Lonchura striata: one gene and its partners. The protein of the gene in region 1 binds, or shares a complex with, the protein of each later gene. Links are inferred from orthologs where the notes say so. Each region holds a gene or a part of one and is shown on either strand. Other genes may lie near its edges.

Region 1 (7,005 bases):
CTGTCTCTCAGTATAAGGTCAATACTGCCAAGTTCATCTGTGACAATAGCACTTGGAGTCATACCATTGCCTCCATTATTGATCTGATCCTCCTCAATCCTCCTTTTGACAATCCTAAAATGATTGACATGTGCTCCACAATCCTTTAATCCAAAGCATTCTTAATCCATCTCTTCAGATATGTCTACAGAAAGACACACGAAAAGGCAAGATAAAATGTAAGATCCCCCAGAAGAGACAAGTTAGCCACAAACATCCCAACATCCCCAGCTCGTCTCGACCACAGCGGAACACTGAGACATTTACACAGCAATACCACGGCTCCAAGAATGTTGGTATCGAACTAGAACTAAACCAGAACAATCCTGACTGACAGCAATTAAAATACAATTTACCAAAGACAGGAGGGGAATGTCGGTGTCCAGGAGCAAATACTCACTAGGGATTTTACACAAGAATGCAATTCAACACTTCAGCCAATTCGAGTAAAACAGTTGGAATTTGAAAAAAAAAATGAAAGACTGTACTAAGTAAAGGAAAACTGTGTACAACATGGGGTTCTACAAAAAGATCAGAGCTAGAGTGATGTTTATGTACGAGATCGGGATCTGCTGTGGCGGGGAGAGTAGCGTGGAGATCCTCTGCTTCTTCTTGGGGAATAACTGCGGCTTCTGCTGTTGCTGCGACTACGGCTCCTGCTACGACTACGGCTGCGGGACCGAGATCTTCCATAGCTTGGGCTTCTTGGGCCATCAACTTTAACACGGATGTAGGCAGTTTCTCCCTATTGGATAGACAGAACTTTCGATTGACACGTCGAGGCTTCAGGGCCATGTTTCAGGCATGCTGACAGACTGCAGACAGTGCTACTATGGCCGGGACACACAGCAGAGCTTACACGTCTATGTCCGGCCTGACCACACACTCACTTAGCTGCCTCCTAACCAAACAGCGACCACCACGCGTTCCTTACCTTCAAATCCTACTGTTAAGCCCCTTGTATCCAATTCTGGCCAAAGAGAATAAGTGTGATACCTACCTCGTGAGATCTAAATTTAGTGTTATCCAGCTTTCGCACAGCGTAGGTCATGTCTTCCTTCCGCACAAACTCCACGACACCAGTGCCATCTCGGAAAACATCAGCATAACATACATCACCTGCTTCACGCATGTGATCCTTTAAATCCTGCCAACTTCCACTTGGAGGCAGCCCTAGGGAAAAACCAAAACGTGACTTTAAAACCGGATTAGAGCCTCACCTCCTGTACTGCAGCAGCAGAGCAGAGGAGCGCTCAGCATCGCGGGGACACCAAAGCACACGGGGCCATGCTTTTTAAGGAGATGCTGGCAGCAGCACCGCGCCTGCAGGACCCCGGGGGAGCGCTTACGCTAAGAGAGAAAGAGAGAGCAATGACTCACCCGAGACGATCACTCTGTACTCCGAGCGCCGGGACGGCGGGCCGTACCTGCCCCGGGGGGCTCCTCCGCCCCCGCCGCCCCCGCCGCCTCTGCCGGTGCCGCGGCCGCTCCGAGGGAACTCCACGCGGAGGCGATACCCATCGTAGTCGTAGCCGTCCCGCCCGTAGACGGCGTCCTCCGCGTCCCTGCGGGCGGCACGGGGCGGGCGGTGAGCGCGGCCGCCGCACCCCCGCCCGCCTTTGTTCGCGCCGCCCGCCCGCCGCTCCCCGCCGGGCCCCGCCACCGCGGCCCGCTGCTCCCGGGGGGCTCCGGGCAGCCCGGGGGGCCAGCGCAGCGCCGGAGGGGGCTCACCTGGGGTCCTCGAACTCGACGAAAGCGAAGGGCGGGCCCCCGCGGCGGTTCTTCAAGTCGATGTCGCGGATGGCGCCGTACTTGTAAAACACGTCCTCGATGTCCTTGGTGCGGATGTCGGGGGGCAGGTTCCCCACGTAGATGCGGCAGTCGTTGTTGCCGGCCGGGCCGCGGATGACGCCGCCGCCGGACATGGCGAGGTCGGCAATGTTGGCGGCGGTGCGGGGCCGGGCCGGGCTCTCGGGGCGCTCCGCCTCACCTCACCGCCGAGCGCCGCTCCAAAATGGCGCCCGCGCCTCCGCTCGCGCGGCCTCTGCGCGCACCGATCCCACCGCGGGCCGCACCACCGGCCGCAGCACCGCCCGCAGCAACGGCGGCTCAGCGGAGCGCGCGCGCGTCTTCCGCCGCGCCCTCAGCCTCCCGCCGCGCGCATGCGCGGTTCCGCCACAAAGTAGTCCCTCGGTTCTTGCCGCCGCGGAGAAGCCGAGTCCGTACGGGGGTCTCGAGGCTGCGGGAGTTCCGTTATACCGTGCGGAGACTGCGGTCCCCGCGGCATATAAAAGACGCTCCTCCCGGTAGCGGCTCAAACGGCGGAGGCCGCTGGCGTCACGTCCGGTGCGGCTCCCCGCGCCTTTAGGCCCGGCCGGGGAGGGCGCGGCCCAGAATGCACCGCGCGGGACGGCGGGCGCGCTTGGCGCCAAGAGCGGGCGCGGCCCACAATGCACCGCGGCGCGGCGGGGCCCGCTCTGCCCTCATGGCCGCGGCTGCGAGCCCGGCTCTGCCTCTGCCCTGTGCCCGGCTGCGAGCCCGGCTCTGCTCTGTGCTGTGCCCGCCTGTGTGCCCGGCTCTGTCCCCACTTCTGTTCCCGCCGTGCCCGGTTCTGTGCCCAGCTCTGTCCCCCGAAGTGGAAGGGCAGTGTTACAGGCACATTCTTCTCTCTCCCAGGATTTTTCATAGGGGAGCACAGAGGAAAGAGAGAGAAAACAATTTCTATTTCTGCTCCTTGTTTTTCCCAGGTGGAATGTGTTTGGAGAATTGTTTACCTGGGGTGATTGGTTTGATTCAGGTGAGGATTGTTTGAGCCTGATGGCCAATCCAACCCACCTGGGGCTGGGCTCTCAGAGAGGGGCACGAGTTATGAGTGAGTTATATGGGACTTAGAAAAAGTAGGTTTGTAGTTTTAGTATCTCCTTTAAATAGTATATTAATGTATTGTAGTATAGTTATAATAAAGAAATCATTCAGCGCTCTGAACTGGAGGCAGACATCAGCATTTTTTCCCAGTGGGTTCACCTGCACTTACAATAGGGCAGCATGTCTCTGCCCCAAGGTTTTTAAGGAGAAATGTCCATGTTGGATTGCCAAGGGTGGGAGAGCCCATCTTCACAAGGGCAAAGGGTAAATTCCCGACTGCCTGGCCATGTTCTGCATCTGTGACAGAGTCTGAGGTTTCACAGTTCTCTCTGCAGTGGGGCACAACGCCTGTCGTGAATCTGTGTAACCTCAGGGGGTGATTTGGGGCAGATAATGGGCTTTGAAGATTGAACAAGCTGCTCACAATTTAACAAGCTGTTTGGTTATTTGCCAGCTCACCAGAAACACTTCATGGAGTTCCCATGCCTGGAGGTGCCCAAGGAGTGGCAGGACTGGCACTCAGTGGTGATGGGCCCAGGATTGGACTCAGTGGTCTTGGAGGTCTTTTCCAAACTACGATTCAGGGATTCTGTGATCCCTGGCAGTGCCCCAGGCCAGGCTGGATGGGCTTGGAGCAGCCTGGGACAGTGGGAGGTGTCCCTGCCATGGCATGGATGAGCTTTAAGGCCCCTCCCAGCCCAAACCTTTTTGTGATATTAAAAAAACCTAACAAGTCCTCTTGCCACCAAAAAACAACCCCACAAAGATCCTGATTATGCTTTTCCCAGGTGTAGGGAAACTCCATCCCTTGCCAAGAAATGAGTCTCTGTTTTCAAAAACTCATTAAAACCACTGAAAGTTATTCTTAAAGGCATCATGAACCAATGGTAACTCTGCCTGCTTTGTGTAAACCCCATTGCATAATTTCTTTTGTGTCTTAATAATCCTCATAACTGCTCTAAATGATTCTCTTAATTACCTTAATGAAGTGTCTCTTTATAGCAGTATTAGATGTTTTCTTCCTCATCACTTTCCTTAGGTCTGTGTTATCACTGGAGTGTTCAGTTGGAGATGCTGCACAATACTTATTTCTCAGAGTCAGTTTTGGCTCTCTAGCAAAACACATATGTGGGGAATTAATAAGTTATGTAGAAAATAAATTACTGGGAAGGCAAGGCAAATAATCTTGCTGAAAAAAAGAAGCCAACTACTCAAAAATGACAAGTTTTTGTCCTCAAAATGGGAGCAATGGAAACGAGGGCTTTCCAAGGGAGAATAATGCAGATATTAGGCACATAACATCATTGCTTATTGTTATTCCTGCTGAAACTTGGGAGGCAGGAGGTTTCCCAGGCAGAGCTGCAGGGCTGGGGCTGTGGCCTGTCATCGCCCAGCTCTGTCACACAGAACCTGTTTGTCCTAATCCTTGCTACAGAGCATCCAGCTGGATTAGTCCTGACTAATCTTACTGTGTTGCAAAATAACAGTTCATCAAAGCCCAGATTGTCTGGGAGAAAAGGGTCGGTTTTTAAGAGGCATCTGAAGTAATTTTTTTTTTTTTTTTTTTTGAGATCTGAGCAATGAACTGTCCAAACTTGTAATTTCCCTCTGGTAACTGTCCTTTGGAATCTGCTGCTGGAGGGGTTTCCTTGGCATTGCACCAGGAACTTGAAACCACACAGGTTGTGCCTTTGGAGTGAAATACAAAGCTGATACTTTGGGGGTGTGTGTGTGTGTGTGTGTCCATTTTAAACAGTGCTTCCAGGTGATCAAACTTACTGTTTTGCATGTAGGAAAAAAAAAAAAAAAATCCAAAAATACCAGTCTGACTTTTTCAGAGAAACTCTGAGCTTAAGATAAGACAAGGAAAGTGTGTGTAAGCTTGAAAATAATTCCCACAGCAGTGGATGGTGACAGCTTGTTTTATTTATGCAGATTTAACTGCAAGCAAAGAGATTTCCTCTGCACATGCTGGGGCATGTCTGGATGCAAACAGAAAACACAGCACACTGCCAGTGGGAATTTTTCCTGGAAGCCAGCCCAAAAGGACACACACAGGTGGGGACTTAAAGGAGAAAAGCCAGACGAGCAGAGGTAGCACCACCACAATTCAAATCGTCCCAGGGGGATTGGGAATGCTCATTTTTTAAATTTCCAAAACCCTGCTGTTTTTCCTTTCTGAGAACAGCCACACCCCATGATGTGCTCAGATCCCAGGTCCCTGGAGCACAGTGAGGGGGCACAGGGAAGCAGAATCAGTTAAATTGTACGTGTTTATTTGTTGGGCTGGTAGCAATAAAAGGTTAATTTTTAAATATTAAAAATAATAAAATTGTTTGGTTTGCTGTGATTTCTGCTGTCTTGTTTTCACGTTACTTGGATTTGCAGTGATTCCCACATGCCAGCACACCATGGCTGGGGCTGGGAGGGAAAGGGGCAGCAGTTAGCACAGACCAGAATTTTCAGTGAGCCCCCCCAGTCCATTTTCATGGATTTATTTCTCTGGGAAGACATTTCTGTTTATCCAGAGCTCTGCCATTGCTCCCTGCCTCCCACTGTCACCGAATATTGTGGCAGCTGCTTGCATTGCTCTTCCCTCTCCCTGCCTGGTGGGATGCTCCAAGGCCTGACGAGGAGAGGGAGGAAAATAAATGCAAGCTGTCAATGTAAATAAACCTGCTAACAGTCATTGCTGCTAAGGAATAAATAAGCGGAAAGGAGCGAATCCATTTGGGTCGCTCACTCCAGAGGGAACCTCGCGGTTTGGCGGGGACTGGGCAGCGAGGCTTTTCCTGCAGCTGCTCCTTTTCCTTTTGCTGTTGCTATTTTCCTGGAGTTTGCTCCTTTCTGCTGGAGGCATTCCCACACTCCAGGTGCGTGGCACACAGCTGGCTGAGCCATCCACGCCGGGATCCGCTGGGCAGCCGCGGCCGGAGCGGCACAGCTCCGGCAGCGGAGCTCACCGGCCCCTCCTGGCACTTCCCTTCCCAGCTCTTGTGCTCCAGCTGGGAGTGGGCAGTGCCATCCTGACACAGGGAACTGAAACGCTGTTTGTAAATTCGAGGTGATGATCACTTCTTATCTGGCGTGTGGCGTCTGTCACCATCCCTGCCAGGACACCGCAGGGCCACAGACACATCCCAGGGGTGTCTCTGGACGGGCCGTGCCACCCAGCCAAGCCTTGGGAGCGTGGACAGAGCTGCATCTCTTGGTTCTCCAGAAAGAACCCAAATGTGCCAGGCCTGGGTGGTTTTTAAAAGGTTTTCCATTAGCTTTGCGTGGAGAGCCGCTGGCAGCGCTGCCGATGTCCCCGCTGCCTCCCCGACTCGGGGCTTTCAGCACCACGCGGCCCCTCTGGCATCACTGAGGGTCTGCTGATTTTATTTAACACGAGGAACTACAACGAGAGAGAAATGCATTAAGATTGGTTTCAAGCAGACTATTTTAAAATACAAATAAAGTTTTTGGAGCTGTTTTGTGGGCGCTGTAACTTTATGTAAACACTGGAGGAGGCGAAGGACTGTGATAACCATGTGAAACAAAAACTCACAGAGACCAGGGTGGGAGGGACGCTGAGCCATATATTTTTCCTGTTGGAGCTCAATGAAAGGCAAATAAACGAGGAAAAATAAACTCAATGTTTACAAAAGGGCCAGCGTGGGATCAGCTGCCAAGGTTTGCTGATCCCAGTGCCCAGGTACTGCTGAAAGGATTCTGCTTCCACTGGAAATCCTGTTCCACAGCATTTTATTATCCAGACATTCCTAATCTAGGAAACCTCATGGTTCATATCCCACTAATTCTTAAGGAGAAGGATGCAAAGTAAGTGCTTTTAAATGAGCAGGTTAAAAGATGTGTCAGAAATTAGGAGCGGGGCCCCAGCAGCGGCTGTTCCATGCTCTGCTCTGCAATGCAAATGCATTTGATTTATGTATAATGCTGCACTTGCTGTACCACTGTAGCCCAACTAAAACATGAAATATAACCCCTTTTTTTTCCTTTTCCTAGTAGGCCTTTTAGGTGCAGTTTCTTGAGGGCAGTAAATAGGAATATCAGGCCTTTGCCAGCTGTGTCATTTAGAGCATGAAAGATGGATACAAA
Region 2 (7,083 bases), on another chromosome or scaffold:
GGACCGGCACCGAGCCCTCCCTGTGCCCCGGGACCGGCACCGAGCCCTCCCTGTGCCCCGGGACCGACACCCAGCCTTCCCCCTGTGCCCCGGCACCAGCACCGAGCCCTTCCCTGTGCCCCGGGACCCGACACCGAGCCCTCCCCTGTGCCCCGGCACCGGCACCGAGCCCTCCCTGTGCCCCGGGCCCGGCACCGAGCCCTCCCTGTGCCCCGGGATCGGCACCGAGCCCTCCCTGTGCCCCGGGATCGGCACCGAGCCCTCCCCTGTGCCCCGGGATCGGCACCGAGCCCTCCCTGTGCCCCGGGACCGACACCGAGCCCTCCCTGTGCCCCGGGGCCCAGCACCGAACCTTTCCCTGTGCCCCGGGATCGGCACCGAGCCCTCCCTGTGCCCCGGGCCCGGCACCGAGCTCTCCCTGTGCCCCGGGATCGGCACCGAGCCCTCCCCTGTGCCCCGGGCCCGGCACCGAGCCCTCCCTGTGCCCCGGGACCGGCACCGAGCCCTCCCTGTGCCCCGGGACCGGCACCGAGCCCTCCCCTGTGCCCCGGGATCGGCACCGAGCCCTCCCTGTGCCCCGGGACCTCCTTGGGCTGTGCGCGGGGCCGGTGCGGCACCGCCCGGCATCCCCCAGAGCATTGGGATGTCATCTCCCAGCCCCTGAGCTTCGTCTTGGCTGCCTCAGCCTGCTGCCAGCCCATCTGGTTTCATGCTGAGACGAGAAATTCGGGTAGTAGTAAAATGCTTTTCACTGTTAGGGTGGTCAGGTGTTGGAACAGGTTGCCCAGAGAAGTGGCAGAGCTGCCATCCTTGGAGGTCTTTAAGTCTGGTAATGTGGTTTAGTGGTTTATAGATGTTACAGTGTTTAATGAGGTTGGACTTCATGATCTTTAAGGTCTCTCCTCACCTTGCAGATTCTATGGAGAAATAAAAACATTACATGCCTGATCTGAGCTTCACAGTGCTCATAGCTCTGAGGACAAACAGACCCAAGGCTGCTGACAATCTCAGAGGGTTTGGATGCAGCTCCTGACCCCTCAGAACAAGGCCCTGTGTGGGATAATGTTCCCCTGACCACCTTCAGCAGAGACTCTGCTTCCAGGAGGGCCCCCAAAGTCACTGAGCCCTGAGTTTGCAATGGGATGAATTCCAGCCAGAACAGCTTTCCTGAGAATTGAGGAAAACACAAGTGACAACATCAAATTTGCTTTCAGTTATTAGCACAGCATGATCAGAACTGATAACCAAACATTTAGTAATTTTACCTAGATCTGCAGATTTGGGTTAGGATTGGAGCTGTGTCACCTTTTTGTTCTACTGAAATATTAATATTATTTCATTTTTCAAACAAAACCTCAAACTTTATTTATTACTTTTTTTTTCATGGGTGGCAATAGAGGGATTCAGTGGAGCCTGTAAATTACAAAATGTTTTATAGTGAAGCCTGTAAGGAAACACCATAAAAGCCTGAAGTGTTCTTCCAAGTTCTAACACTGATAAACACAATACACACAAGATGTGAAACAGTAATTAAAAGAATTCCCAGGGGTATATAGATGTGTTAGGTGGCTTGTCAGGCAAAACCTTTTATCCTGGATACAGAAAACCTGAAGTCAATTGTCAGGTTTAGCACTGCTCGGGCATATGACATTGAGCAAGTTCACCTCAATGCTTTCCTTCTCCATCATCAACAATAGGATGATCACATTGACCTTTGCAAGGTCTCCTGAGATCTACTGATGAAAATTACTGGGTGAGTGTATGATCATCATTCTTTGTACTACTGCTTCTGAAACACAATAGATTGCAGTTATTACCTTGAGACATACAAACCTAGAATGTATTAATGTTTTCAGGTACAGAGTTGTTATTTAAAGCAGTTATCTGGTGACTAAATAGATAAATTATACAAATCTCTGTAACACTGAAATTGGTTAAATGCATGCACATTAAATATAATGTATTGTACTTTCTGGCACTCTGAGTCTTGAAGTATAGATTCATCACTGTAACCAAAGATCATTTAGCTTCTATGCTTGATTCTAATTTAAAATCTACAGATGGTAATCTGCATACCTTCAACAGCAGTCACATCTGTGGGAGGAAAAAAGTGTCCATAGGCTTAAAATTCAATTCTGTTTTTTACTGGATTTTTTTCTATTTTTAATACATATGGGAAGTAAGAATAAGTTCAGAGTCATTTAAAAAGCCTTTTAGGAGGCTGCACAAAAAGAGTCCACTGCAAGAATTTGTGAATAATGGATTTGGTGGCCATTTTGACTCTTCCTTTTATTCTTGTGTCTACCTTTTGTTCTGCCAAAACTAGCTTGGTTATTGTTGCCCCTTCTAGACCTTGTCCTAGGGGATCAGTGTATAGCTCCCATTATTTGTCAAACTCAAATAGACTGATCCCAAAGCAGGCTCTGCTTCTGTATCCACTTTAAGAGAGTGGTACTGTCAGGGCAGAACCTCTCTTGGAAAAAGCTAAAATACAAGCAGAAGCTTAATTAAGGGCTTGTAGAATTGTCCTGAGTTGGTTTCAAAGACTAAAAGAGAACTAGTCCTGACATTTGTTTAAAGAGTTTGTTCTTTGAGTCCTGGAATGCACATTATTTCGAATGCATAAAGCACACTTTAGATAGATTAAATATCTTTTCCCTGAGAGGTCTCAAAAAGCAGCTTTAAAGAGGAGACATCAGGGACCCTGACAATTTTCTAGAGATGGGTTCTTGCCCATATCTAGTTTAATACCTCCACCAATTGTCTAGATGATGCAAAATATTTATTAGGAAATTTTGTAGCCTAATAAATTAGTGGGTAAGTCACAATTGTCTACAAAAATCATCTGATGTGTCCAATAAATCATCCCAGTCCAGTAAATTGCATTTTTAATAGCATAAAATGTAAGGAAATACATCTGGAAATAAAGAATGCAGAGAAGGGGTTAGAATGGCAAAAAGTACCTCAAAAAAGAATTTAGTTGTTATTATTTCAGTGTGACCTCTCAGGATAATACTGTGGTAAAATGGACTACTCTAACTATTTACTGTATAAAATACAGAATATATAAGGGAAACAGGGAGCGACACTGTCTTTGTCCACAGCACAGGGACATTGCTGCACCATTTCTGACACCCACGGTTAGGGAGGGAGGAAAACCACAGGAAATTATTAAAAGGAGGAACATAAATTAAACCACGATATAAAATAGAGGCGTAGGAAGCTCAAGCTATTCCGGTTACCGAAGGCTAAGCTGAGAGGCGACGACGGCAGCGCACAGACCACTGCAAACGGCGAGAAGGTCAAGTCAGACAAATCCCTGCGGATCGCGTGCCAGCATTACCTGGCTGGCTGCACCTGACGGGCCTCTGCCACAGCATTTCAGCCACCAGCTGGGCCCGCCGCCCCGGGCGAAGAGCTGTGCCGGGCGGCGTTCACTGCCGAGCGCGGGAACCGTGCTGCCGCGCAGCGGGGCGGGGGCGCGTCCCGGTGACCGCGCGGTCCGCGCCGCTCCCGCGGAGCGCACGCCGCCGGCGCGCCGCTCTCCCGCCCCGCGGGGGCCGCCCCTCCCGCCGCCCGCCGGGGGCGGGGCCGCCGCATGTGACGGACAGGTCGGCGGGCCAATGGCGCGTGGCGCGGCCGGCAGCGCGCGGCGGCGGGGCGGGGCCGCGCCAATGGCGCTCCGGTTGCCGGGCGCGATCGCAGCGGCGCCGCCCAATGGGAAAATTCGCGGCGCGGGAGGCGCGCGCTGGTTCGCGTGCGGCGCGCGACGGTCGGCGGCGCGGGCGCGCGGCGCGCGGCCCCTCACGCCTCCCGCGTTCCTGCTCCCAGGTGCGAGTGTTGAGGAATGTGCCCCGCTTGGAAAAATAAATAAAGAAATAGAGAGATGGGCGGGCGGTGGCATCATGGGCTGGCCGGGCAGTGCGCTCCCGTTTCCCCGCGGGCCGCTCCGGTTGTTTTCCGAGCAGTAGTTTGGGGAGGGAGCGCGTTTTCCAGCCGTGCCCTTGGACCTTTTTACTTCAGGAGCACCGTCAGCGGCCAAGCCGGAGTGCGGGAGCGGGGACCCCGTGGGCCCGATGGTAACGAGCCCATGTGCTCTGTAGAAAAGGGGAATTCCCCTGTGTGCTCCAAAAATCACAGCAGAAAAGGTATATGCAAGAAAAGGGTTAATGAGTATTTCCACCTCCCCCTCCTTCCTCCCCCACCCCCCGTTGGATAAAGATGGTCTTGGATACCCTTTGTAAATAGGAATGTGGAGGTGGGAGGGGAAAATCAGCCCGGCTCCGACTACTCGGCGGCCTCGGTGGGTGAGCGGGCGGGAGGAGCTGGTGCAGCCCGGGCGCTCTCCCGGGGAACGCGCGGGGGACGGACGGGCACCCGCGGGGCGGGCGCGGCGGAGCGGCTCCTGCGCGGGCGGCGGGAGAGGAAGACAAGGGCTGACATGCTGCCCAGCGCCTGCCCAGCGCTGTATTGAAGAGTTGGGGGGGTTGCCCCTTTTTATTTTTTTTTAAACATTTTTTTTTTTTTTTTTTTTTTTTTTTGTGCGCCACCTCCTTGAAGCCACTAGCAGCAAGGAAAATAAGCTGAGGACAGAGAAATAAAGACGGAGATGGTGAGCAGATCGCTGGGTTGGGGGGGAATGAATGAGGTTGCCGGGCTATTTTCTGTGAGGTTCTTGCACGGTGTAGTACGTTTTGGGGTGATTTTGCATCACGATTCCGTGCTAGACTTCTTTGTTTGCTAAAGGCTGCTGGTTCAGGTTTAACAGCGTTCATCAGTTTATTGTGAGATGCGCAACGAGGAGTTGATGTATGCGAATGCCTGAATTACATACGCAAGCCACACACACAAGCAAGCCCTAAACAAACCAACATTGTAATAATCCTGCAATATGATGGGCAGCTCGTGTCATGGAGGGAAGTCATTGCTCAGGTTATTTGTGGTATGCATAGGAGATGAATCTCTTTGTAGCAAAGACCAAACAAAATTAACCTATTTTTTCACACACGCGATATCCATTACACACTTAAGAGCCAGAGTTAGGGGTTATTTTTTAATTTTCGCTTTCCCTGCAGTATTGAGGTCCACGGTTAAAATCTGACGTTTGTAGAAGTTGAAAAACTCTTTGAAATGTTCACTTCTAGTGAATATGAAATAGTAAAGACTGTCTTTCGTGTTTTTTCCCTTTTTTCATGAAGGCACTTGTTCGTGTGTGAAAGGGGGAATTCTTAAAACACGCACTTTGCTTGTTACGCTGTACTGTTGTGCCTTTAGGTAGGTCACAATGCAAAACGTGATTCATAGCATGTTAAAAAAAATAACTCTAAGTTGTTTGTTTTTTTTTTTTATCAAGTGAAGACCTGTTATCGTTCCAATAGCTTAAACCCTAAATACAAGTTTTGCGGGGGGAGGCGGGAAACAGCCCTCCTGATTTGTATTAATGGAAATGCTTTATGTTAAAAAATCCTGCTTCTAAATGACAGAATATAGACATTGCCTGATTGTAACTTCCTGTGGATAAGGTACTGCAATCTGCTGAATACAGTAGTCCTTTAAGGCTCCATAAATTTAGACATATTTTGTTTACAAAATTGTGTAGCACTGCATGGTGCAATAGTAAAATCTGAAATTTTAGTGATTTTAGAAGTGTAGCAAGGCACTGCAAAAGAGAAAATATGCAGCCTCGTATTAAATCTCCTATGGAAGAAAAGGAAAAGGTTTGTTTGTAATACAGGGTATGCACAGCAACTAAAGTAACTGCAGGGGCTGTAGAGTTTGGAGTTTGTATAGAAAAAATAACTTGTGAACTATGCTGGGGTCTTCATCCTGCAAGGTATTTGGATGGATGATTCTTAAATTTATTTTAAGCAGCATCTCTGTCAGTTCTTCTCTGAAATATTTAAATTATATGCTCTATTAGGCAAATGGGTTTATCTTCCATTGCTTGGTTAAAGGAATGCATTTGGAAGGCAGGAACAATAGTTTAACTGCGTGGTTCATCCTTGTGCATTGTTCAGAGATCACAGTTTGCATTTTATTTGACATTGGTGATTTTTATAAAGTGGACTTTTTTATTTTATTATTATGCCATAGTTGCTGTCAAATAACTGAATTTCAATTTATAGTTTTGATGTACTATTTGGCCAAAATAGATGAAAAATAGTTCCCTTCTTTGAATTTTGTCTATTAAATTCAAAATCTCTGCAGTTGATTTCAGTATTAGAAAGTTTTTAATATTGGAAGAACCAACAAGAGCCACAAATAGAGGGAGTTTCCCATTTTGAGTTAGGACACTGTACTAGAAATGGCAAAATTCCTGCCATTTGCTTCTACTTCAAATTTTGTACAAACTGTAGTTTAGTTTAGATATCTTGTCCTGAAGACCATCTGTATGCATATTACAGTTATATAAAACTAAGCTTTTATACTTGATTTTATGTAATGCAACACATTATATCTGCAGTGCTTTTGGTGGATCTTGAGTACTGTCAGAATTGATACACTGCAAGAAAAACCTGTTAGAATTCTTGTGCTACCAAGTTTATAGTTTGTCGGTCTTAATATTTTATTGTGTGAGTATAAATCATTGACACAGACATTGTAAACAAATGCTGTAGCAGCTGAGTATGATTTTACATTTGGCTTGTGTCTTTCCAGTTTAACCAGAGTATGACAGTATTCTGTCAGGTGTGGTGCCATCCTAATAGCCATCATAGTTAACCTTCAAAGCACTTTGGTAAATTTTTTCAATTTCTTGTCTGTCTTTACAAAATAAAGAGGAAAAGGCCAACTCTAGGTTACACCAGTATAAGTAGGGAAGGAATTTCACATGTGTTGCATGCAGGTACCTTATTCAGACTTCCTGTGTATCTCTGGAAATTAGCAATGAGATTTTAAAGGTTAAAATCCACCTATTTGTAGAAAAAAGTTCTTTCCGATATGCAAGACATCTAGAGTACACATGTAACTTGACAAAATATATTTTCTTCACAGAAGGGCATTAGAGGTTTCATGTGTTTAAGCATTAAAATAAGAACAGGGAGATTTTCTTAAATTTCAGGTAGGATGTGGTCTACCTGTGAG
Region 3 (8,110 bases), on another chromosome or scaffold:
ATCCCAAAATATTCTGGAATGGGATCCAAAACTATCCTGGAATGGGATCCCGAAATATCCCGGGATGCTGGGATGAGATCCTAAAATATTCTGGAATGGGACCCCAAAATATCCTGGGATGCTGGGATGGGATCCTGAAATATTCTGGGATTCCAAAATATTCTGGGATCTGGGATGGGATCACAAAATATCCTGGGATGGGATCCCAAAATATCCTGGGATGCTGGGATGGGATCCTGAAATATTCTGGGATGGGATCCCAAAATATTCTGGGATCTGGGATGGGATCCTGAAATATTCTGGGATGGGATCCCAAAATATCCTGGGATGCTGGGATGGGATCCTGAAATATTCTGGGATTCCAAAATATTCTGGGATCTGGGATGGGATCACAAAATATCCTGGGATTCTGGGATAGGATCCCAAAATATCCTGGGATGGGATCCCAAAATATCCTGGAATGGGATCCCAAAATATCCTGGAATGGGATCCCAAAATATCCTGGAATGGGATCCCAAAATATCCTGGGATGGGATCCCAAAATATCCTGGGATGGGATCCCAAAATATCCTGGGATGGGATCCCAAAATATCCTGGAATGGGATCCCAAAATATCCTGGAATGGGATCCCAAAATATCCTGGGATTCTGGGATGGGATCCCAAAATATTCTGGAATGAGGTCCCCAAAATATCCTGGGATCCTTCAATGGGATCCCAGGATGGGATCCCAAAATATCCTGGAATGGGATCCCGAAATATCCTGGAATGGGATCCCAAAATATCCTGGGATGGGATCCCGAAAAATCCCGGGATGTGACCCCAAAATATCCCGGGATCCTGGAATGTCCCCTCTGTTCCCCTCTGTCCCACCTTCCTCAGGATTCCAAGGAATCCTCGGGAATTCTGCGGCCCTGTCACCTGTGCGAGGCCTTCAAATTCCAGCCCCTTTTTCCACGGGAAAGTTGGGAACATTTGAAAGCACGGATAACATTCCCGATAAGAGGCGGCGGCACACGGAGCGGGGAATAAAACATAAATTAAAAAAAAATAAAATAAAAGCAGATAAAGGTGGAAAACCCTCGGAGCATTCCAAGAGATCAGAGGAACAGGAACATTCCTGGAATCCCTCCCTCCTTCCCCATGTTTTTTAGGGAGTTAAGGCACTTTTTATCCCTAAAAAAAACGATTTTTATCCCTAGAAAACCGAATTTTAACCCTAAAAAACCGATTTTTACCCCTAAAAAACCGGTTTTTGGCCGGGTTTTGCTCCGTGGAGCGGAGCTGCCGTTGCCCCCGGGAAGGGAGGCGGCCGAGTTTCCAGTTCTCCCGGGAGCCCGAAGGGAATCCCGGCTCCGCAATCCCCGAATCCCCTCCCGGGCCACCGGCGCCGGTTCCACAGAAGCGCTGGAGTCAGCGGGAAGCGGCGTGGGACACCGGGGAGCCCCGCGGAACCGGTCCGGGCGGCTTCCCGGAGCCGGGACACCGGCAGCGAGGGGAAAGAACGGGAAAGGGAGGGAGCGGGGCGGCTGGAGCCCCGGGACCGGGACCGGACCCGTGCCCGGGACAGGATCCACAACCTGACCGGGACAGGAGCCCCGGGACCGGGACCGGACCCGTGCCCGGTACCGAACCCACAACCTGACCGGGACAGGAGCCCCGGGACCGGGACCGGACCCGTGCCCTGGACTGGATCCATGTCCTGGACCGGGACAGGAGCCCCGGGACCGGGACCGGGACCGGGACCGGGACCGGACCCGTGCCCGGTACCGAACCCACAACCTGACCGGGACAGGAGCCCCGGGACCGGACCCGTGCCCGGTACCGAACCCACAACCTGACCGGGACAGGAGCCCCGGGACCGGGACCGGACCCTGTTCCCGGTACCGGACCCCGCGCCCGGGACAGGATCCACAACCTGACCGGGACAGGATCCCCGTTCCCGGGACAGGATCCCCAGACCGGTTCGGGACCCCATTCCCAGAACCGGACCCCGTCCCCAGAACCGGACCCCGTTCCCGGGACAGGATCCCGTTCCCAGAACCGGACCGCAATTCCCAGAACCGGACCCCATTCCCAGTACCGGACCCCATTCCCAATACCGGACCCCATTCCCAATACCGGACCCCATTCCCAGTACCGGACCCCATTCCCAGTACCGGACCCCATTCCCAGTACCGGACCCCATTCCCAATACCGGACCCCAATTCCCAGAACCGGACCCCATCCCCAGAACCGGACCCCATCCCCAGAACCGGACCCCGTTCCTGGGACAGGATCCCGTTCCCAATACCGGACCCCGTTCCCAGTACCGGACCCCATTCCCAGAACCGGACCCCGTTCCCAGAACCGGACCCCATTCCCAGTACCGGACCCCATCCCCAGTACCGGACCCCATTCCCAGAACCGGACCCCGTCCCCAGAACCGGACCCCGTTCCCGGGTCAGCCCCCACCCCCCAAACCCAGCCAGGGCCGCCCCCCCGGGACTCCCGTCCCGCTCCCATCCCGTCCCGGCGCTAACCGGGACCGGAGAGGAGCCCCGGTCCGTGGGGGGGTCCCACCGGAACAAAAGCGGCACCGGGAGGGTCCGGGGCACGGCAGGCCCGGCCCGGCCCCGCTCCCCGCGCCGCCGGTGCACGTGGGGCGCGGTACCACGTGCGGGCGGCGGCGGCGGCGGCGGCGCGGGGCCGGGCCCCGCCGGCACCGGGAGGGCACCGAGCCCCGGGGGGGTCCCACCGGGACACGCGGGGGGGTCCCAGCCCCGAACAGCCCACCGGACCCCCGAACCCGGGGCTCTCCCACCGGCGGGGGTCGCCCGGTCCCACCCGCTCCCCCCCCCCCCCCCCCCCCGCCGTTCCCCCCCCCCCCCCGCACCGACCGCGGCCCGCACTCACGGTTGGCGATGTCCCCCCCCATCTTGTACTTGGTCACCACCAGGTCCTCGGCGATGGTGAGCTCGGCGGCCTCCTCCTCTCCCGACATGGTGGGAGCCCCCCGGAGCCCTCCCGGTGCCCCCCCGGGCCTGCTGGAGCCGCCCCCCCCCCCCGGTGCTGAGGGAGCCCCGGGACCGCGAGACCGGAGGCGCGAGCAGGGCAGAGCGCGGGCTCCGCGCGGGGCACGCTGGGAACGCCAGGCCTCCACGCCCCCCTGGACTACAACTCCCATCACCCCCCGCGGGCAAACCCAGCCCCCGGACGGGAGCGCGCTGCGCCGCGCCCACCCTCGCGCTGCGGACTGCAACTCCCGGCGTGCAGCGCGGCTCTCGCGAGAAGGGGTGGGGGGGTGAGAGCGGAAGCGGCGCGCGGGGGGCGATGGGGGTTGTAGGCGGAAGTGCCGGTGCGGAATTTCGGTGCCGGGACGCCGCCGGGACCGGTCGTTCTGCTCCTCCCTCTGCCAGCGCTTCCTCGCCACGTTCCTGGGCTCAACCCTGCAGCAACGCTCCCACTCACAGCCCCCAGCCCCGCCGCGCCCGTCCCATTCAACCCCCCCCAACCCCAGCACCGGCACCGCGGCCACACCGGGGCCGGTCCCCGCTCTCGGTCCCCGGTGTTCCCGGACCGTGACACCGGAGCCACCCACCGGCATCACCCCCACGGTCCCAACACCACCGGACACCCCGGTCCGGTGCTCCCCTCGACCCCCGTGACCCCCCCCCAAGCACCGGTACCGGTACCGGCGGCTGCCGGTGTCCCGGAGCCCGGTCCTGGTGTCCCCCCCGGTGTCCCCCCGGTGTCCCCGGTCCAGCCCCTCCGAGGTTTTAACTAAATTCTTTTATTTTCATTTATTTCCATCACGCGCGACCCCCCCCCGGGACCGGGGGCGATCCCTGAACGGGGGTTCCAACCCCCCCCCCCAAAACCGGGAAACCCCCGAAAAACCGGGAGAAACACCCCAAAAACGGGACCCCGGGTGACGTCAGGGGAGGGGGACACCCCAAAAGGGGATCCCGGGGGTCCCTCGTGGGTGGGACACCCCAAAACCTTCACTCAGCAGGGAATGGGGAGCCTGGAAATGAGTCGGGGGTCCTTCAGAAATCCCGTCCGGCACCCGCGGGTGGGGCCAGGGACCCCCAAGGGACCCCCAAAAATTTGGGGAGCACCTTCAGTGAATGGGGGGGGAGGAATCAACGATGGGAGGGGGATCCTGGGAGTCTCCGCTGCCCCCTCCCCACCTGGGCGTGCTCAGTCTCACCCCCCCATCCCTAAAAAAAAACCCAAAAAATCCAAAAAAAAACCCAAAAAAATCAAAGCGAGGAGAAGCCAAAAAAGCGCTGAAACCCCACCTGGGGGGATCCTTCATATCCGATGGGAACCCCCCGAATTTGGGGGGGTTTTGGGGGGTCTCGGGGGCTTAAATCAAGATGGGAGGGGAATCCCGGGGGTCTCCGCTGCCCCCTCCCCACCTGGGCGTGCTCGAGACCCCCCCAAAATAAAACGAAAAAACAAAATACCCCAAAAAAATCAAAGTGAGGAGAGACCGAAAAGGCGCTGAAACCCCACCCGGGGGGGATCCTTCACATCCGATGGGAACCCCCGGAATTTGGGGGAGGGTCTCGGATGGAGGGGGGCGTTCGGGGGTCTCAAGGGCGGAAATCAACGATGGGAGGGGGATCCCGGGGGTCTCCTCTGCCCCCTCCCCACCTGGGCGTGCTCGAGACCCCCCCAAAATAAAACTAAAAAACAAAAATACCCAAAAAAAAATCAAAAATCAAAGCGAGGAGAGACGGAAAAAGGACTCAAACCCCACCCGGGGGGGATCCTTCGCATCCGATGGGAACCCCCCGAATTTGGGGGAGGGTCTCGGATGGAGGGGGACGTTTCGGGGGTCTCAAGGGGGTAAATCAAGATGGGAGGGGAATCCCGGGGGTCTCCGCTGCCCCCTCCCCACCTGGGCGTGCTCAGCCTCAATCCCCGCCCCTAAAAAAAACCCCAAAAAATCAAAAATCAAAGCGAGAAGAGACCGAAAAGGCGCTGAAACCCCACCCGGGGGGGATCCTTCACATCCGATGGGAACCCCCGGAATTTGGGGGAGGGTCTCGCATGCAGGGGGGCGTTCGGGGGTCTCAAGGGGGTCCCCTACGTCCGCCGGGCATCGCTTTTGGCGAAGAGGCGGCTGTGCCAGTAGTCGGGGTTGTCGAAGGCGCAGTCCGACGCTTCCAGGCTCCGCAGCGCCTTCATGGCCGGGGCCCCGCGGCAGCGGCGGGGCCGCGCCACCGCCTCCATCTCCTCGTAGCCCTGCTCGGCCCCGCCGGGGGTCGCGGGGGTCTCGGCCGCTCTCATCTCGGTGTAGCCGTCGTGGCCCGGGGCTCCCGGCACGGCGCACAGCGAGCGGCTGAGCCGCGGTTGTTCGTTCATGTACTCGTAGTTTTCTTCCTCATCTTCATCATCCTCCTGGCGGGGTCCCCCCGGCTGGGGGGCTCCCGGGGGTCCCCCCGGCTCGGGGCTCACCTCCATGTATTCGTAGCCGAGTTCTTCCAGCGAGGCCGGGCGGGGTTGGGGGGGTCCCCGGGATCCCCCCCGTTGTCGGTTCATGTATTCGTATTCTTCCTCCTCCTCCTCCTCTTCCTCCTCCGCCGGTGCCGGTACCGAGCCCGCGGCGGGGTCTGCCGGGGGTGGGGAGGGGGTCACGCACCGGGCAGGGGTCCCCAGGGGTGCCAGAGGGGTTTGGGGGGGCTCGGCTGGGCTCAGAGCAGGGCGAAATGAGGAAAGAGCAGCCCCGGAATTACCGCAGAAACAGGGGGTGCACCCAACACCCCAAAAACGGGGTGGACCCCCACCCCAAAAACGGGGTGGACCCCCACCCCAAAAAACAGGGCATGGACCCCACCCCAAAAAACAAGGCATGGACCCCACCCCAAAAACGGGGTGGACCCCCACCCCAAAAAGAGGGGATGGACCCCCCCAGAGACACATGAACCCCCCAAACTCTGCAGGATGGGACCCCCCCCAAAAACAGGGGATGGACCCCACCCCAAAAACGGGATGGACCCCCACCCCAAAAACGGGGTGGACCCCCACCCCAAAAAACAGGGCATGGACCCCCACCCCAAAAACGGGATGGACCCCCACCCCAAAAACGGAGTGGACTCCCACCCCAAAAAACAGGGCATGGACCCCACCCCAAAAACGGGGTGGACCTCCACCCCAAAAACGGGGTGGGCCCCCACCCCAAAAACGGCGTGGACCCCCACCCCAAAAAACAGGGCATGGACCCCACCCCAAAAACGGGGTGGACCCCCACCCCAAAAAGAGGGGATGGACCCCCCCAGAAACACATGAACCCCTCAAACTCTGCAGGATGGGACCCCCACCCCAAAAATAGGGGTGGACCCCCCCAAAGATACATGAATCGCCCAAAATCTGCAGGATGGGACCCCCACCCAAAAAACAGGATGGAACCCCACAGAAACCTCCAAACCGTGCGGGATGGGACCCCAAAAACAGGGGATGGACCCCCCCCCAGAGACACATGAACCCCCCCAAACTCTGCAGGATGGGACCCCCCCCAGAAACAGGGGATGGACCCCACCCCAAAAATAGGATGGACCGCCCCCAGAGCCACAAGAGACCCCAACCCAAAACCCTGGAGGGATGGGACCCCCAAAGGGACCCCCAAGACAGGGGGAGCCCCAAAACCCGACCCAATGGGATGGAAACCCCCTCCCCAAGACCCCCAGCCCCATTCCAGCGGGATGAGACCCCCACAGGGACCCCCAGGACAGGGGGAGCTCCAAAACCCGTTCAAATGAGATAGAGACCCCCTCCCCAAGACCCCCACTGCCATCCCATCGCGATGGGACCCCCACAAGGACCCCCATGGACAGGGGGAGCCCCAAAACCCGACCCAATGGGATGGAAACCCCCTCCCCAAGACCCCCAGCCCCATTCCAGCCCCACAGAGACCCCCAGGACAGGGGGAGCCCCAAAACCCGACCCAATGAGATGGAAACCCCCTCCCCAAGACCCCCAGCCCCATTCCAGCCCCACAGGGACCCCCAGGACAGGGGGAGCCCCAAAACCCGTTCAAATGGGATGGAAACCCCCTCCCCAAGACCCCCAGCCCCATTCCAGCCCCACAGGGACCCCCAGGACAGGGGGAGCCCCCACTCCCATCGCGATGGGACCCCCGGGCCCCCTCACCGCGGAGGGCGCAGGTGGGGGTCACGTATCCGTCGGGGTCCTCCTCGCTGCCCGGGGAGCCGGGCGGCGGCGGGGCCGGCGGGGCGCGGCTCTCCCGGTGCCCCGGGCCGGCGCCGTCCCCCCGCGGGCGGCGGCCGCGCCCGAGGCTCCCGGCCGGGCCGCCCCCCGCGCCCGGCTCCGGTTCCGAGCCGGCGCCGCGACCCTCGGACGACTCCGACACCGACCGGCCCAGCGAGTCCTGCCGGCCCCGCCGCGGCGGCCGCGAGCCCCCGGGCTGGGGGACACCCCGAGTTCACCGCGGGACCCCCAACCGGCCCCGGACCCCCAACCGGCCCCGGACCCCAACCGGCCCCGGGACCCCAACCGGCCCCGGGACCCCGAGTTCACCGCGGGACCCCCAACCGGCCCCGGGACCCCAACCGGCCCCGGGACCCCCAACCGGCCCCGGGACCCCGAGTTCACCGCGGGACCCCGAGTTCACCGCGGGACCCCCAACCGGCCCCGGGACCCCCAACCGGCCCCGGGACCCCAACCGGCCCCGGGACCCCAACCGGCCCCGGGACCCCGAACCTGTCCAGGGACCCCCAACCGGCCCCGGGACCCCAACCGGCCCCGGGACCCCGAGTTCACCGCGGGACCCCCAACCGGCCCCGGGACCCCAACCGGCCCCGGGACCCCAACCGGCTCCAGGACCCCGAACCCGCCCCGGGACCCCGAACTGGTCATGGGACCCCGAACCCACCCTGGGACCCCCCAGCCTGAGGACAGCAGGGGGATGGTGAGGGGGGACACCCCAAACCTGCCCTGAGCCCCCCAGATCCCCCCGATCCCCCCGATCCCCCCAGATCCCCCCGAGCCCCCCGAGCCCCCCGATCCCCCCGATCCCCCCAGATCCCCCAGATCCCCCAGATCCCCCCGATCCCCCCGAGCCCCCCAGATCCCCCCGATCCCCCAGATCCCCCCGATCCCCCC
Region 4 (7,217 bases), on another chromosome or scaffold:
ATTCTGGGATTTAGGTCAACTTGCACCTTCAGCTGAGCTCCCCGGTGCTCTGCAGGCTCGGAGCTGCTCTGCCACGTCCGGCCCCATTTCCCAGGAATAACCAGCAGCAAAGGCCAGAACGAGGCAGCTGGGGGAGCTGAGGGACACACCTGAGCCCCCAGGGCCCTCCAGAGCCAAACCTGAACCCACGTCCTGCCAGAGATACCAGGGATGGGAACTGCAGGGATCTCCCTTAGGTTTGGGGGTGCCCAGTGCCAAACCTGAACCCCCACAGAGTGATCCAGGCACCCAAACTCCACTGCAGGTTTTGCCTTCTCATCCCTACGATGGGATGTATCCCACAGATACAATTTCAGACGGCTTCAACCCACACAGTGACACCACACCACCTCAGAAGGCTCCAAGCACGTGCCCTTGTTGTTCTTCACCCCCTTTTATCCCCCCATGTTCATGCAGTGCACCTGTGTGCCCTCTGCTCCCTGTGAGGCTGCTCAGCACCCCTGGGCACTGCCTGGCTCAGAGTTGGCAGTGCTGCTCAGCACCCCTGGCACTGTGTGGCTCAGAGCTGGCAGTGCTGCTCAGCACCCCGGGCACTGCCCGGCTCAGAGCTGGCAGTGCTGCTCACCTGCTCCTCACAGCTGTGCCCACAGGGCTGGGGCAGCGCCGCTCCCAGCCACCCAAACTGCACCCACAGCCACAGATCTGCAGGTTCCCAGATCTCCCTGTTCCTGGGATCTCCCTGTCCCTGATTCCAGTCACCCAAACTGCACCCACAGCCACAGATCTGCAGGTTCCCAGATCTCCCTGACCCTGGGATCTCCCTGTCCCTGATCCCAGTCACCCAAACTGCACCTGCAGCCAAGGATCTCGCTGTTCCAAATAGGATCTCCCTGCTCCCAGGATTTCCCTGTCCCCACTCCCAGTCAGCCAAACTGCCCCTACAAGTGCCCAAGGCCAGGCTGGACACTGGGGCTGGAGCAGCCTGGGGCAGTGGGAGGTGTCCCTGCCGTGGCAGGGGTGGCACTGGAGGGGCTCTGGGGTCCCTTCCCACCCAGCCATCCCAGGATTCTGTGATTACAACCCCAGAAAGGCAAAAGCCAGTGGGAACCCTACCCTGAGAGCTCGTCCCAGCAGAGGCAAACGTGACACAGCCCAGCAGGGCATGGACAGCCCAGGGGTGCCAGCAAACAGCCCGTGACGGGTGGCACTGCAGGGACACGGCTGGGCACAGAACGGGATCCAAGCAAACACTCCTTGGGGGGTTAATGCCAGTGCCTCCATCCAGACCAGGGCACGGGGACACTGAGGGACAAAGAGCTGCACCCAGCCAGGGCCACCAGGGCCACAGTGACTCCTGTCCCACCAGGGTCACCGTGACCCCAAGCCGGGCAGGGTCCCCTGGAGCATCCCACGCTGCCAGCCCACACCAGGGAGCTCCAGTTGTGCAGGGCTGGGGGAACTCAGCAGCTCCGAGCAGAGGGAGGCGCTGGATGGAGCCAGGCTGGGCCTGAACACCCCAGGAATAAGTGGGGTTCCTTCTGGGAGCAGCTCAGAGCTCAGAGAGAAGCAGGGGGAATGACCCAGCAGAAGGGGAGAGGCAGGACTGCTGCTGCCCTGGGGCTGAGCTGAGTCAGTAACAACGTTGTTATTGCTGTTTTTATTATTATTATTATTATTATTATTATTATTATTATTGCTGTTATTACTGCTAATGTTCTATCAGAAAGAGCCCAGGGAAAAGCCCGAGGAACTGCAGCAGAGACCCCCCCAGATTCCCAGATACTGGGGAATACAGATCAGCCCCCAAAACCCAAACTCTGCAGGGGATGGGGAGCCTGACCTGGAACACCTCTTTACCCAACAGCAATCCTGGGGCCCGGGACAGGACCCAGCCCTGAAATGTGAATGCCCCTCCTCCAGCTGCCTCGAGATCTTGCTTCTGCCCCGGGGAAATGGGGGGAGCAGCAGCAGAGCCCCCAGACCCAGCCGTGGACAGTCCCTTGGGAACTCTGATGGGAGCTGCAGCACTGCAGGAATTCGGGGGGAAATGGGAAAACACGAGTTTGTGGGAACAAAGAGTGGCGAGCCTGGCCAGGGAGCGGGAAGGGGCTGGAGCTGGAAGGGAACCGGGCAGAGCTGGGTCAGCCAGAGCAGGCAGGGCCAGGACACAGCTCCTCCCCGGCCCCAGGGCAGGGATCCTGGCCCTGGGGAAAGGGGGAGCACAGCGGGAACTGCCCAGCTCCGGGCGGGGAAGCACCACCCCTGAGGCAGGGGGACAGAGCAGCCCCAGCAGGAGAACACCGACCAACACCCCAAACCCGGGGTGTGTCCTGAGGGCTCGGCTCCATCCCCTCACGGATCTGACCCGGCCGGCAGAAGAAGCCCAAATTTCCCTCCGGGAGCCAATTCCTCCTTCCCAGCTGCCTCAGCACTGTGCCAAACGTTCCAGCCCCTTGTTCCTGGTGCTAATCACGGAACCGGCGAACAGTTTGGGTGGGAAGGGAGCCCAGAGCCCCTCCAGTGCCACCCCTGCCATGGCAGGGACACCTCCCACTGCCCCAGGCTGCTCCAGCCCCAGTGTCCAGCCTGGCCTTGGGCACTGCCAGGGATCCAGGGGCAGCCCCAGCTGCTCTGGCAATCCCAGCCCAGCCAGGAATTCCTCATTCCCAATCTCCCATCCATGGCTGCCCTCTGGCAGTGGGAGCCATTCCCTGGGTCCTGTCCCTGCAGGCCTTGTCCCGGTCCCTCTGCAGAGCGCTCTCAGGAATGGGGTAGCCGCAGAGCAGCGGGAAGCGGCGGCGGCGGGGCAGAGGCTCCCCGAGGCCGCCAAGGGGCCGCCGTTCCCTGCCCCGCCCCACCCGGATGGGGCCCGAGGCCTCCCCGCGAGCCGGGCCCGGTACCCGCCGCCCGCGGCTCTCACCGAGCGCTGCAGCTCGCCCAGCCAGCAGCTCGCCCGCTCCTTGCCGCTGGGGTCGGGGTCGTGGTAGAGCGCCTGCACGGCCTGCTGGACGAGCTGCAGGCTGGGCCGGCCCGGCCCGCGCTCCATGGCCGGTCCCTCAGCGCCGCCCGCCCGCCGCCATCGCCGCTCCGCGCCGGGCCGGCCCCCGGAAACGCGCCCCTGCGCCTTCCGTTCCGCGTCCTTCCGTTCCGCCGCCCGCCCTCGCCGCTGCCCGCTACGCCCCGTTCCGCCTCTTCCACCTCATCGCATCGCATCGCATCCCATCCCAACCCGTCCCGTCCCGTTCCGTTCCATTCCATCGCGTCCCGTCCTATTCCATTCCATCCCGCCACGGTTTGTCCCACCCCCGCCCCCCCCGCGCCCTGCCCAACGCGAGCTTCCGGCGGTGCAGCGGGCAAATGTGTCCGGGCGCACCCGGCGCGGCGGGAAGGGTCCGTGCCCCACCCCCCCAAAAAAACCGGGGCGTGGGGCCCGGCACCCCCCGGCACCCCCGACACCCCCCGACACCCCCCGGCACCCCCCGGCACCTCCGGGCTGTCCCCAGGGCTCCAGAGACCCCCAGTGTGAAAAATGCGTATTTTATGATTGGCTTTTCGCAAATGCTACAACGAATATGGTATGTGTCATGTCAGAAAGTGATGCTGTATTCGGTGTGTTAAATACAGTTTCAGGTTCCAGCACGATGTTAAAATAGAAACTCTGCTATGTGAAGGGGTTTTTTAAGGAATGAGATACTCGCTTCAAGGAATACCTAAATCTTCCAGAGAAGAGAAATTTACGGTTTTCTTATCAGAGGAAGCTAATTTCTTCAGGCATTACTCAGACTCGAACACACCATGGGGAGTAAAGGAAACACTTGACATACAACAGACAGAGTTCTTGTTTTAAATAGAATATATGCATAACCATGAAGGACATATGAATATGTAACAGGTTATTGCTTTTAAGGTTATTCCTTTGTTCACAAGTCATGCTTTTTGTGACTTAGTGTCCGAGAGCATCCAGATGTCTGTAATTCTTTGCTTTTTATTGTCTTGTAATTGTCCTAACTCTAAACTTTATTACTCTAATTGTATTACTATTTTTATAACCATTTTATTATTATTAAACTTTTAAAATTTTAAAAAACCAAGTGATTGGTGTTTTTCACAGGAAAGATACCTCCTTGGAGAAAAGTGGAAAAAACCTGTTTATTAAACAAGCAAACCTAAACAATATTAAACAATAAAACTTCTTGCCACTCCAAGAGAGAGACAAGCTCAGAAACCCCCCGGGCTGCAGCTGGGCTCACTCAGTCTCTGATCCGGCCCTGCAGAGCTGGAAATGCCACGGCCCAGGCCCGGAGCTGCTGCTGCTCTGCTGGTGTTCAGTCCAGAGAAAGGGAAAACAGCCCAGTCCAGGGAACTGCTTTGCTCAGCTAGCTAAAGCTAGCTAGGAAAGCAAAGGAGAGCTCTGTCTCGCTGTCTGTCTGTCTGCAGACACTCAGTCCAGGAGCAGGAATGTGGAGGAGGGAGTGCAGCTCTTGAAAACAAACTGCGCTCCTTCCCCCCCCCTTCACTCCTGGAACGAGCCTTAAAGGTGCAAAGCTTTTTGTTGCACACAAACAGGGCAGAACGGGGAGAAAGGCACCAGGCAGGCAGCCCGGGGCAGCCGTGCCAGGATCGGGGGGCAGGGGGACCCTCGCTGGGTCTGTGTGCAGGGCGCTGCCCGTGCTCCACAGGGCGCCGCGTTCCAGAGCTGTGGCAGGCAGGGCTGCTCCTGTCCTGCGTGCCCCAGCTGCTCCACAGCCCAGCGGGCTCCTCACAGTGCCCCAGGGATCTCCCCCCGGGCCAGGCGCCACTCGCTTTGGACAAAGGCCGTGTAAATTAATTTTTGGGAAGACTGCGGTGCACCGCCATGGACGATGGCAAATCCTTGTGGCTGGGCCGTCGAGGATCTAGTCCTGACAGTGGTAGCTCTAGTCCCCTTCCCCCCTTTCTCTCCGTCCTTTATTTCCCTTTTCTGTCCCCTCCGTGGCATTTGCTGTTCTGGCCCCCCGTAAAGGTGCACTTGTGGTGGTTAACCCGCTGTTCCCCTGCCGTTTGCCTTTTGCACTTTGGGATCGGCTGAGGAGCCACCGCGGCGCGAGCGGGTGGGACGGGGCCTCGGGCGGGACAGGGGGACATCGGCCCGACCTGCACAGGGACAAACGTCCCCAAAATCCTCCCCCACAGTGCCAGCCCCACGCGGGGCCAGGCGCCGTGGGCACAGCCGGGGGGGACACCCGCGTGTGCCAGGCACCTTCTTCTGTCTCAGCATTTCTACAGAGACGCACAGAGGGAAGAAAGAGAAAACCATTTCTGTTTCTGCTCCTTGTTTTCCCATGTGGAATGTGCTTGGAGAATTGTTTCCCTGGGGTGAGTGCTTGGTGAGGATTGTTTGAGCCTGATGGCCAATCCAACCCACCTGGGGCTGGACTCAGAGAGGGGCACGAGTTGTAAGTTAGTTAAATATAGCAGTTAAAAAAAGTAAGTAGTTTTAGTGTCTCCTTTAAATGGTATATTAATGTATTATAGTATAGTTATACTAAAGAAATCATTCAGACTTCTGAACATAATAATTTCTTCCTACCAGGGTCACCTGCATTTACAATAGACATGAGCAGCTACTGAGGGGGGCTCTGCCAGCCCCCACATCTGGGGAGAAAACTCCATCTGCAGCTGTGATGGGATTTTGGGATTGGGGGGGTTTCCTGGGGCCTTGATCCCACCTTGTTCCTCATCTCAATCCATGGGATTTTGGGATGGGGGGGTTTCCTGGGGCCTTGATCCCACCTTGTTCCTCATCTCAATCCATGGGATTTTGGGATGGGGGGGTTTCCTGGGGCCTTGATCCCACCTTGTTCCTCATCTCAATCCATGGGATTTTGGGATGGGGGGGTTTCCTGGGGCCTTGATCCCACCTTGTTCCTCATCTCAGCTCCTGGTTAGGTGATGCCGGCAGTCAGACCCGATGTGTCGGCAGGCAGGGGCACTGGATTGAGATGGATTTTGGGGGAAAACTCCTTTAATTTCCTTTCCCCCATAGTCACTGTTGAGTAATGATGAGGTGGCTCCTGAGGCCAGCGGTGCTCGCTGTGCCCCGCCCGGGCCAGCCCCTGCGTCCCCTCGTGGTGGTGCCCGTGGCAGGTGTGTGGGACAAGCTCCTCTCCTGGTCTTTTCCAGCCCAGCCCGGCCTGAGCTCCATGATTCGTGGTCAGTCCCTCTACAGCTGCAGTGTCACTGCTGGGTCACACACCTGCACACACACCCTCACCTCATTTTCACACCCGCACTCCCCCTCGGTGGCCCCCGTGTCACTTCCCCCTCCCCCCAGCTCATCCTCTTTGTCCCCAAAGCGGATTACGGCGGTGGCTCAGCGGGGACACGCGAGTGTGCAAGGAGGGGCCGCATCCCGACCAGCCTCACACCGGCCACAGGTGTGCGTGGAGGCGGTCACACCCCTGCCAGGTGTGCACAGGGGTGTGACACCCCTGCCAGGTGTGCACAGGGATGTGACACCCCTGCCAGGTGTGCAGGGAGGGTCACACTCCCTCCCTGGGCCCACACCTGTGCAGGCAGCATGGGCAGGCCGTGCACAGCCCAGCAGGGCAGGTACAGTGTGCAGGGGATGCCCTGGGTGTGCAGGGGACAGCCCAGGTGTGCAGGGATGGCCCAGGTGTGCAGGGGATGCCCTGGGTGTGCAGGGATGGCCCAGGTGTGCAGGGATGGCCCAGGTGTGCAGGGGATGCCCTGGGTGTGCAGGGATGGCCCAGGTGTGCAGAGGATGGACCAGGTGTGCAGGGGATGCCCTGGGTGTGCAGGGATGGCCCAGGTGTGCAGAGGATGGACCAGGTGTGCAGGGGATGCCCTGGGTGTGCAGGGATGGCCCAGGTGTGCAGAGGATGGACCAGGTGTGCAGGGGATGCCCTGGGTGTGCAGGGGACAGCCCAGGTGTGCAGGGGATGCCCAGGTGTGCAGGGATGTCCCAGGTGTGCAGGGGTGGCCCAGGTGTGCAGAGGATGTCCCAGGTGTGCAGGGATGGCCCAGGTGTGCAGGGATGGCCCAGGTGTGCAGGGATGGCCCAGGTGTGCAGGGGACAGCCCAGGTGTGCAGGGACAGCCCAGGTGTGCAGGGAATGCCCTGGGTGTGCAGGGACGGCCCAGGTGTGCAGGCAGGGCCCGGGCACAGCCCTTGGCAGGTGGCAGAGGAGGTGCAGGCAGGTGACCGGGGATGCTCCC

The links.
Region 2: SRSF1 (region 1) and ARVCF share a complex: the UniProt entries of both Homo sapiens proteins name them as parts of the ribonucleoprotein complex. The link is inferred for Lonchura striata from reciprocal best matches to the Homo sapiens genes SRSF1 and ARVCF.
Region 3: SRSF1 (region 1) and PA2G4 share a complex: the UniProt entries of both Homo sapiens proteins name them as parts of the ribonucleoprotein complex. The link is inferred for Lonchura striata from reciprocal best matches to the Homo sapiens genes SRSF1 and PA2G4.
Region 4: the proteins of SRSF1 (region 1) and TNPO3 are in contact, whole or in part, in a crystal structure (PDB 4C0O), measured with the Homo sapiens proteins. The link is inferred for Lonchura striata from reciprocal best matches to the Homo sapiens genes SRSF1 and TNPO3. Residues at the interface, in NP_008855.1 of Homo sapiens: Ser116, Arg117, Arg118, Ser133, Trp134, Gln135, Lys138, Asp139, Arg142, Glu143, Gly145, Asp146, Cys148, Tyr149, Ala150, Asp151, Val152, Tyr153, Arg154, Val172, Arg173, Asp176, Asn177, Arg181, His183, Tyr189, Ile190, Arg191, Arg198, Pro200; in NP_036602.1 of Homo sapiens: His155, Arg157, Arg160, Thr167, Tyr254, Ile256, Glu257, Glu304, Glu340, Ile341, Phe343, Asn344, Tyr347, Arg348, Glu351, His352, Lys355, Thr356, Arg620, Asn656, Glu660, Arg661, Arg664, Arg667, Phe668, Arg671, Ser698, Cys699, Tyr702, Ile706.

The regions. Positions count from the first base shown.
Region 1 is NC_134622.1:10,652,205-10,659,209, reverse strand, and holds SRSF1 (serine/arginine-rich splicing factor 1), read right to left. Parts: upstream 2,102-7,005; 5' UTR 1,965-2,101; coding exon 1,771-1,964; intron 1,605-1,770; coding exon 1,420-1,604; intron 1,213-1,419; coding exon 1,040-1,212; intron 785-1,039; coding exon 590-784; 3' UTR 572-589; downstream 1-571. UniProt on the Homo sapiens protein: Plays a role in preventing exon skipping, ensuring the accuracy of splicing and regulating alternative splicing.
Region 2 is NC_134620.1:8,197,156-8,204,238, reverse strand, and holds the start of ARVCF (splicing regulator ARVCF), read left to right. Parts: upstream 1-4,005; 5' UTR 4,006-4,148; intron 4,149-4,275; exon of another isoform or gene 4,276-4,307; intron 4,308-4,390; exon of another isoform or gene 4,391-4,560; 5' UTR 4,561-4,612; intron 4,613-7,083. UniProt on the Homo sapiens protein: Contributes to the regulation of alternative splicing of pre-mRNAs.
Region 3 is NC_134629.1:9,434,134-9,442,243, reverse strand, and holds the start of PA2G4 (proliferation-associated protein 2G4), read right to left. Parts: upstream 3,134-8,110; 5' UTR 2,982-3,133; coding exon 2,894-2,981; intron 1-2,893. Other genes in the region: ERBB3 (receptor tyrosine-protein kinase erbB-3), read right to left, coding at 5,075-5,601, 7,139-7,412. UniProt on the Homo sapiens protein: May play a role in a ERBB3-regulated signal transduction pathway. Seems be involved in growth regulation. Acts a corepressor of the androgen receptor (AR) and is regulated by the ERBB3 ligand neuregulin-1/heregulin (HRG).
Region 4 is NC_134607.1:73,051,146-73,058,362, reverse strand, and holds the start of TNPO3 (transportin-3), read right to left. Parts: upstream 3,092-7,217; 5' UTR 3,047-3,091; coding exon 2,921-3,046; intron 1-2,920. UniProt on the Homo sapiens protein: Importin, which transports target proteins into the nucleus. Specifically mediates the nuclear import of splicing factor serine/arginine (SR) proteins, such as RBM4, SFRS1 and SFRS2, by recognizing phosphorylated SR domains.